2 linked regions of the Pelodiscus sinensis genome follow. The protein of the gene in region 1 interacts with the protein of each later gene in a pairwise test. Links are inferred from orthologs where the notes say so. Each region holds a gene or a part of one and is shown in the gene's direction. Other genes may lie near its edges. The genes, in order: FLT1 and SHC2.

The links.
Region 2: the proteins of FLT1 (region 1) and SHC2 interact in a two-hybrid assay, tested with the Homo sapiens proteins (2 studies listed by BioGRID). The link is inferred for Pelodiscus sinensis from reciprocal best matches to the Homo sapiens genes FLT1 and SHC2.

Annotation. Positions count from the first base shown.
Region 1 is NC_134711.1:299,714,872-299,718,769, forward strand, and holds the start of FLT1 (vascular endothelial growth factor receptor 1), read left to right. Parts: upstream 1-1,562; 5' UTR 1,563-1,889; coding exon 1,890-1,956; intron 1,957-3,898. UniProt on the Homo sapiens protein: Tyrosine-protein kinase that acts as a cell-surface receptor for VEGFA, VEGFB and PGF, and plays an essential role in the development of embryonic vasculature, the regulation of angiogenesis, cell survival, cell migration, macrophage function, chemotaxis, and cancer cell invasion.
Region 2 is NC_134729.1:15,712,676-15,716,573, reverse strand, and holds the start of SHC2 (SHC-transforming protein 2), read left to right. Parts: upstream 1-1,297; 5' UTR 1,298-1,874; coding exon 1,875-2,432; intron 2,433-3,898. UniProt on the Homo sapiens protein: Signaling adapter that couples activated growth factor receptors to signaling pathway in neurons. Involved in the signal transduction pathways of neurotrophin-activated Trk receptors in cortical neurons.

The DNA of each region.
Region 1 (3,898 bases):
TTCTACTAGGAATAAGGGGGCTTCCGAAAGAGGGTTTTTTCCTAACATTTGGCCCAGTCTAGACAAGCCAAATGTCAGAAAAGCCTCTTCTGACAAAAGGATTGAAAAAAAAAAGCTGCAGTTTAGCCCTAAAAGTGTCTATTGTCTAGTTCTTTTCATCTCCCTGTCAGGATAATTTCAATCCTTCATCATCAGCATCCAACCCCCTTTTCCTCCTCCCCTTTTCTGGCTCCTTCTGACCACTTTTGAAGATATAATGAGCTCCGAAGGTGCATTCTTCTGATCCTGCTTCTGTTTCTCCTCTCTGTCTCTTCCTGGAGGTCCCCTACCAGGAGGAACCTATCCTGCCCTGCTTCTGTGGTCTGTGTTGAGAGGCCTCAGGGTACTTAGTGTACGAATTTCCTTCTGGGTCTCCTGCTGCTGCTCTTCCCTCTCTATTCCTGGGAGCAGTAGTATCAGGAGTAATTTCTGACTGGAAAAGCAGCCAGCCTTTCCAGTGGTTCATGGGTGGAAGCTTCTATAGAGACATATTTTTATTTCTGGTCACAGTATTGAAAGTACAGGATCAAATCACAGTCCTGTTTCGGGAGTTCACACAGATACTCTGCTCTACTACTTTCAAAGTTGAAAGATAAAACTACCCATTTGAAACCAGGGGCTTACTTCTTGGGCCAAGGGGATGCAGGCATTGTCACGAGCTGCCCGTGACTTTGGACGAGGTGCCTCAGGTCTGGTGCCTCCGATTGCTCGTGCTGTGACCTGGGGGTCCTTAGCACCCACCCGCCCCGCGGAGGCCGAGAGGGAACTTAATACGGTGGCGTTCCTGCCAGTGACAAGAGCACTGCGCTCCTCGCCGGGCAGGCAGACCCTGCGGCTTTCCCGGAGCCAGCAAAGAGCAACCCAAGGAGAGCGGGCCGGTCGCCCGGAGCATCTCCAGTGTGAGCAGCCGTGCGGAGGCCGCCCCAGCTCGGCGAGCCCCGCGGGGAGAAGCGCTCGGCACCGAGCGCCCCGCTTGCTGAGCTGCAGGGCGTGAAGCCACTGCCCAGAGGTGGACGTCCGCGCTGCGCTCAGCCCGCGGTACTTTACCGGGGCCGCCCGGGAGCCGCTAGCGGGAAGGTCCCGAGGCAATGCAGGGCCCGCGATCTGCCTGCAGCCAGCGGCTCCCGTCCCCCGGTGCCCAGGGGAGGCGCTGGCAGGGGGAGCCGGGCCCCGCGCTGTGGGGCTGGCGGCGATGGAGAGGCGCTGCCCAGCCGGACTCAGGCTGATGGGGGGGGGGGGGGGGTAACAGAGCCAGGGCAGGGCAGATGCACTAGCACTAGGACACACGTGTATCCCAGCCTCGCTGGGGCCGGGAGCGCAGGCGGAGGACGCGGTGCGATGGGACTGCAGCGCTGTGGGAGTGACGGGGGGCGGCGGGCTGGGGGGCAGCGCAGCGTGGGCACGGAGGGGCCGGGAAGTGGGCGCTGGCTCCAGCCGCACTCCTGCGCAGGCAGCAGGGCACGGCAGGGGGCCGGAGGGGCCGGGGGCTCCGGAGGGGAGGGGGACCCGGTGACGCAGAGAGGAGGGCGTGATCCGCCGGGAGGATGTGGAGGTTATAAATCAGCCGGGCGGCGGGCAGCTCCCTGCGAAGGGATGTCCACGGGAGTTTAAGCGCGCAGCTGGAAGCGCCCTTACGGAGCGGAGCGCAGCGCTGCCCGGGGCTAGGGGCTGCTGGATGGTGATCTCTCCCCGGGACCTGCTGCCCAACTAGCTTATCCCCCGTGGGGAAAGCGAGTCCGGGCCGGCTGCCGGAGCAGCAGCCCCTCTGCTGGGTGTCCTCGAGCCGCGTCCTCTCTCCGAGCAGGCTCGGGCAAAGCTCTCCACCCTGCGCGCACCTCCCGGGCAGGACCATGGGCAGCCGGGCGCTCGCAGGGGCCATGCTGTGCGGGCTGCTGGCACCCGCTCTCCTTTTCGCAGGTGAGTGGCCCGTTCCCCTGCGGGGGGAAGGATGAAGGGAGGAGGACGGTCGAAGTTAAATGATCCATGGGACAGCCGGCTGCGCGAGGCTCTGCGCCCCAGAGAGACACCTCCAAATCCCGGGCAGTGCCTGGGGGAGTCTGACCCGCAGGGGGACGGGAGCTGGGGTCCCACCCGGACGGCATTTCTCCTCTCCCCACAGGGCCCCCGCTGCCTCCCCCTGTTCCCAGCTGGAGGCTGCTTTGCTCCCAAACGGGGCGCTGCCCCTATTATCCTGTAAGCAGGTTCCCGTGGTCCCCCTCGGAGCTGCCCCGTCTAACTCTCCTGGGCAGACATTGTGAAACGCTGGGGAGAAGCTGGATCCTGCCGCGCTGTGGCTCCAAACCCACAACTTGTAGCATCGAAATGTAAAGAGCAAGGCTAGCGGTTCCCTCCTTGCTACAGGCAGCATCCCGGGCCCGGTTTCAGCCCGGGGCTCCCGCAAGATGTTGGAAAAACTGGATGTAAATTGTACGATCGAAACAGACACTCGCGGTAGTCGCACTTCCCTGGAGCAATCTGGACTCTGATACATCCTGGTCCAACATCAATCTGACCAGTGTGGGAGGCACAATGAGTACTTCAGTCGTGACCATTTTAATCCTATTTCCGCAAAATCCTATTTTTAAAGGGGGAAAAAATGTAGCAACTATTAGCGACCCCGAAAATCCAGCCCTGTGCGCACCTAGATGCGGCTGGGTTTTAAATCTCAAAGCCTTAAATTCTACCAGAAAGAAGAGCGCCAGCCCCGATCCCACTGCTAAGATCCAGATCCTGAAGTATGCGTGGTAAATAGCACCGCCAGGACAGAGATCTATCAAAGCAGAGCTCGGGACACAGATTTATCTCATTCAAGCTATACTTTGTCTCTAGAGAGAGTAAAATATTGCGGATCTAGGTGAAAAAAAAATTGGCCATAGCATGGTGGCTCCCGGTCCATGTGTGGATGTTACCAGGGCTTGTGTGCCGGGATGTATCAGGGACCAGGTATTTTAGCAAGGACGTCGCTTGGTTTCCATTTCCTCAACAGAATGTAGAGACCTGTGGCCCATATTCCCTGGATCCGGTAAAAGTATTGGAGCCTGGGTTTGTCTGGTTAAGCAATGTGCATGGTCTGTTTTGATGGTACAGTTCGGAGCATTCAAACCAGTCGGGCCAGCAGGGCGAAGTTCTAATTTGCTGGGGCGCACAAGGTTATGGATTTTTGCAGTGGCATGCTTGCTTTTCTTGGTGCTGGAACAGAGCTTTCCAGATGAGAGGTAAAGCTGTTTGAAGATTCACGGGAGTTGAACCAGGCAGAAGGAGAGCTCTTGTTCAAGTGTGAGAAAATACTAAAATGCATGTGGAAACAGGGCCAAATATAGACCTGGTGTAACCATACTGAAGCCAGGTATGGATTTGCCACATAATGGAAAGCAAATGTAAAGTCTGCAACAGAGGAAAATTGCTAATTGAGATTAGCCTCAGAGAGACAACTACATTTTGTTCAATGTGATGACTATGCTAAGGGGCAGGTTGAATCAGAGTTTCTAAGTAAGTAGCAAATATTTTTACATGAGCGTAATCAAATTATTCTGTTGCATGATGTGCTATAAATTATTTGTAAGGAAGATTACAGAGCCAGTTAAGTGTTACATTTTCCGGCAAACTATTCTACCTTCTGGTTTCTATTAAATCCTGCCTGAATAGCTGATGCCCAGTACAGTTATAAAGGCTGTGCTGATTTCATAAAGTCCTGGCAGTAATAGAAATAATTTGTGCATGTGAGTAAAACAGTCCCAAAATATTGTATTGTTTCATTGACAGATTTTGACTTGAAAAGCATTGAGAATACAGCTCTGTCTGCATATATACAATTAGAGGCAGTGGGGTCAAATCCTGCTAGTGATTTTCAGTTGGGATG
Region 2 (3,898 bases), on another chromosome or scaffold:
AGGAGGGAAGGGCCAAGGGGCTGAACGGCAGCAGACCTGTGCCAGAGACTGGGATCCTGACCAGCAGAGGGCGCTCTGATGCAGGGAGCTGGTTCCCTGCCTGGCCAGAGGGAGGCGCTGGTGAGCGCGTGGCCCTTTGTCCTCTAGTGCAGAGCCCGTCGGATTTGGCCCAGAACCATGCTAGTGACTCGACTAGTTGCCGTCTCTTCTATCAGAGGCAGCAAGGGGGGAGCAGGAGCCGGTGCTGGGGGGAGCTTGCTGAAAAAGTGGCTCCCCCCAGCACTGTCTCTGTGGGGGGTAGCAGGGGAAAGGGGGCGAGTGGGGCTGAGCAGTCCTGGCTCAGGCTGGGTCCCCGATGCTGCGGCTCTGCTTTGTAACCAGCGTAAGAGCCTGGCGGTTTAGTGCAGCGGAGAAGCAGCGCTGTGGCGAATCCCCTTATCGACTGGTCGATGGACATGCCAGCGATTGGCTTGCTAAGCGCTACTGACATCCCCGTGCTGGCGCGTGTCACGTCCGTGGCTGGGCGGGCGAGGGAGCCCCTGTGGCTGTGGCTAGACCCTGCGACGGTGTCGCTCGGGTGGGTGTGTGGGCAGCCGGCGACGGGAGGCTGCCGTGGGGAACTGCCATCTCCCAGGAGACACGTGGGGCCGAATTCTCTAGCGGTGCCCCCTGACGGTGCTGGGTGGCACCCGTGGGCCCCAGCAAGAGGCTCGTTCCCCACAGAGGTCGGGGTCCATCCCAGACACTTAACAGAAAAAGCCCAGGCAAGGCCCAAGCCGTTCGTGGCAGCTCCTCCAGGTGGGTGAGCCGCTGAGCAGGCGAAGGGGCCCACAGTGAGCCGGTTGCACGGGATGTAACTGGGGGCAGAATCTGACCCACAGCTGTCCTGACATTATCTCGTCAATTGCTGCAAAATGCCGTCAGTGGCTGATTCATTCTCTAGTCCCTTCCCTACTGGCTGGAGAACTAGTGCCTGTCCGGTCCCTGGCTGGTTGGGGGGGGCCCCTCTCCCAGGTCCCTGGCTGGTTGGGGGGGGGGCCCTCTCCCAGGTCCCTGGCTGGTTGGGGGGGGGCCCTCTCCCAGGTCCCTGGCTGGTTGGGGGGGGGGGCCCTCTCCCAGGTCCCTGGCTGGTTGGGGGGAGCCCCTCTCCCAGGTCCCTGGCTGGTTGGGGGGGGGGCCCTCTCCCAGGTCCCTGGCTGGTTGGGGGGGGGCCCTCTCCCAGGTCCCCACGGCTTGGTAACATTCTCTCGAGCTCATCCACAAACGGCTGGGCTCCTGCACGAAGCGCCAGGTGACCGTCTCTGGCGAGCGACCTGCAGGAGGTCGGACTAGCTGATTGGAACAGTCCGTCGGGTTTCATGAAGCGGCTCTATAATCCCTGGGGGTGGGCTCCCCGTTCCTTCCCCCTCCTGCGGGCTCCGGGGGGTCCCGTTGCTTGGCAGAGACAAGGGGGTGCAGGGGAAGGCCATCAGGCTAGCTTGCTAGTGCCGGTGGCTGGCGAGCCCCAGCCCTGGCAGGGTCCCTGGGTGGGAGGGGAAGCTGGAAGACGAAGCCCGTTACCCCAGGACCTGCCGAGCGGGCAGAGCCACCCCCAGAGGCTGCGTGCGACAGGGACTCCTCCCTCGGCCTGTTGGCCGACTGCTCTGCCTCTGTCCAGTGCTGACAGATGCCGTGTGCGGCGGGGGGAGCCGAGCCGGCCAGGCCTGCGGCAGCACTGCTGCTGAGCAATAGCATCATGACATCATTGTGTGAGCGGAGCCTCCCCCGGGAGGCGGGGGGTGGGGGCCGGAGGGGCAGGCCAGCGAGCGGGCGCGGCGCAGAGCACGCCCGGCCGGCACTCTAAAAGCACTTAGCCAGGCAGGCAGCGGCAGGGCATGCTCCCGGAGCCCAAGTATGGCCGCTTTCGCAATGGCTCAGTGACCCCCTCGGAGGACCCAGCCATGAGCAGCCAGGTGGCGGCCGCCGCCCCGGCCCCCTCGGCGCCTGCCGCCCTGGCACAGCCTTGCCCGCCGCTGGGCGACGCCCGCTTGCCGGAGGAGCAGGAGCCCGGGACCACCTTCTGCATGCTCATCCCCAGGATCCCCCAGTGGAAGTTCTCCAGCCCCTCCGGCTTCCTGAGCCGCAGCCCCTCCAGCGCCAGCAAGGACCTGTCGGCCCCGGCCAAGCCGGGGGGCCCCGGAGAGGCTGGGGGGCCCTCCTCCGGCCTGGCCGCTGTCCTGAGCGCCTGCGAGCCGGTCTGCCACTCTCCCTGCTCCCTGCAGGTGATGAGCCGGTTCCGAGGCGGGGGCGGCAGGAAGGCGGCTCGGGTCGAGGGGGTCAAGCTGGCCGGCGAGGAATGGAACCGGAAAGGCAGCTTCATCAACAAGCCGGCGCAAGGCTGGCTCCATCCGGACGAGCGGGTCCTGGGACCGGGGGTCTCCTACATCGTCAGGGTAAGCCTGTTTCTCCAGCCTCCCCGCCCCTCGGGCCCACCTGGCTCTGGCTCCCGCGCTGAGCCAGCGGGCGCTGAACGGGGGCTGCGCTGCCCGGGCGCCTCTCGCTAGGAGCTGGCAGCTGGGAAGGGGCCAGGTGCCCCCGGCCATGGGGGGAGGGAGGTTTGGGGGCTTCCCCTGCTTGATCCCCAGAGTCGCGAGGGTCTCGCTCCTTCAAGTTCTCTTTGTTCAAGGCCCCACAGCCCAGCTGTCACCCGGCCTGGGGAGGGGTTGGTGTTGCATCGCCAAAGGCGGCCGCCGCTCCGCCCCGTCAGCTGGGACTTATCTACGGGCTGAGCCCTTTGGGGGAAACCTGGCCCCGGCCGGCCAATTGGCCCTGGTTTAAAACCCGCAGCACTGAGCCCTCGTCCTTCGCTGGGCAGGGGTCTCCAGGCACAACTTGATGAACTGAGTCCTAGAATTGGGGGGTGGGGTATTAACGCCTCCCCGGAGCCAGGAATGGAGAAACTGAGGCACAAAGCAGGGAGGGTTGCACAGTGGAACTGGGGTGAAGCCAGGAGCAGAGCCCAGCTCCCCGACTCCCAGGCCAGCATCAGCCACGGTCCCCCGGGCTCCTGTTCTCCTTCAGGCTGGCTTGACACCACAGCGTTGACTTCGGCCGAGCTGCTGGTCAGGGCAGAGTCTGCCTTCAAGTGTCTCCAAAGTTGTGTGGGCGGCTTGGCTGAGGGACGAGGGCCCAGGGGACTTGGGGAGCTGGGTTCGTTTCCCTGCTCCGCTACAGACTCCAGGGGTGAGTCGCTTAGTTTAGCTTTGCCTCAGTTTCCCTGGCTGTACGTGGTGGGGAGGGGAGGGGGTAATAGCCCCGCCTTCCAGGGGATTGTGAGAACTCCCTCGGAGGTGGGGAGGGGTTCAGCTACCATGGTGATGGGCTGGTTTGAGCTTTGGTTTCCAAAGGGCTCTGCCTTGTATCATTTCTGCCCCCCCACCCGCCCCAGGAAGCACTGTGGGGCGGTGACACCAGTGAGACCCCCCACGCCCTGGGACTGCAGGTCTTAACACTGAGGCCTGCGTGTGGCTTGAGGGGCCGGGGGTGCGTGTCCCACTGGGCCTGCGGCTGGGTCCTGACACGACGACTCTGATTTCAGGGCCCGGGGTGCTGGGAGCCAGGGGGAGCCTGCCCGGCCCGTGGGCGAAAGAGGCCCGGCGGGGCTGGCCGAGGCGGGAGCCATCTCCCCCTCGCGCGCCCGGGTGTGACCGCTGACCCCGCCGCGGGCAGAATCGGGCTGGAGGGGTTGTTTAGAAAGGAGCCAGATCTCCCCCACCACCTGAAAAGCACGCGGCCCCCCAGCAGGGTCTGAGGCATCTGGCCTGTCCATGCTCCGGCAGCCTTGTTTGCCCGGCTCCCAGCGTATATTCCCCAAGGGCCTCCCACCGCTGCTGGGCGCCTCACGCCCGGCTCCCGCTGC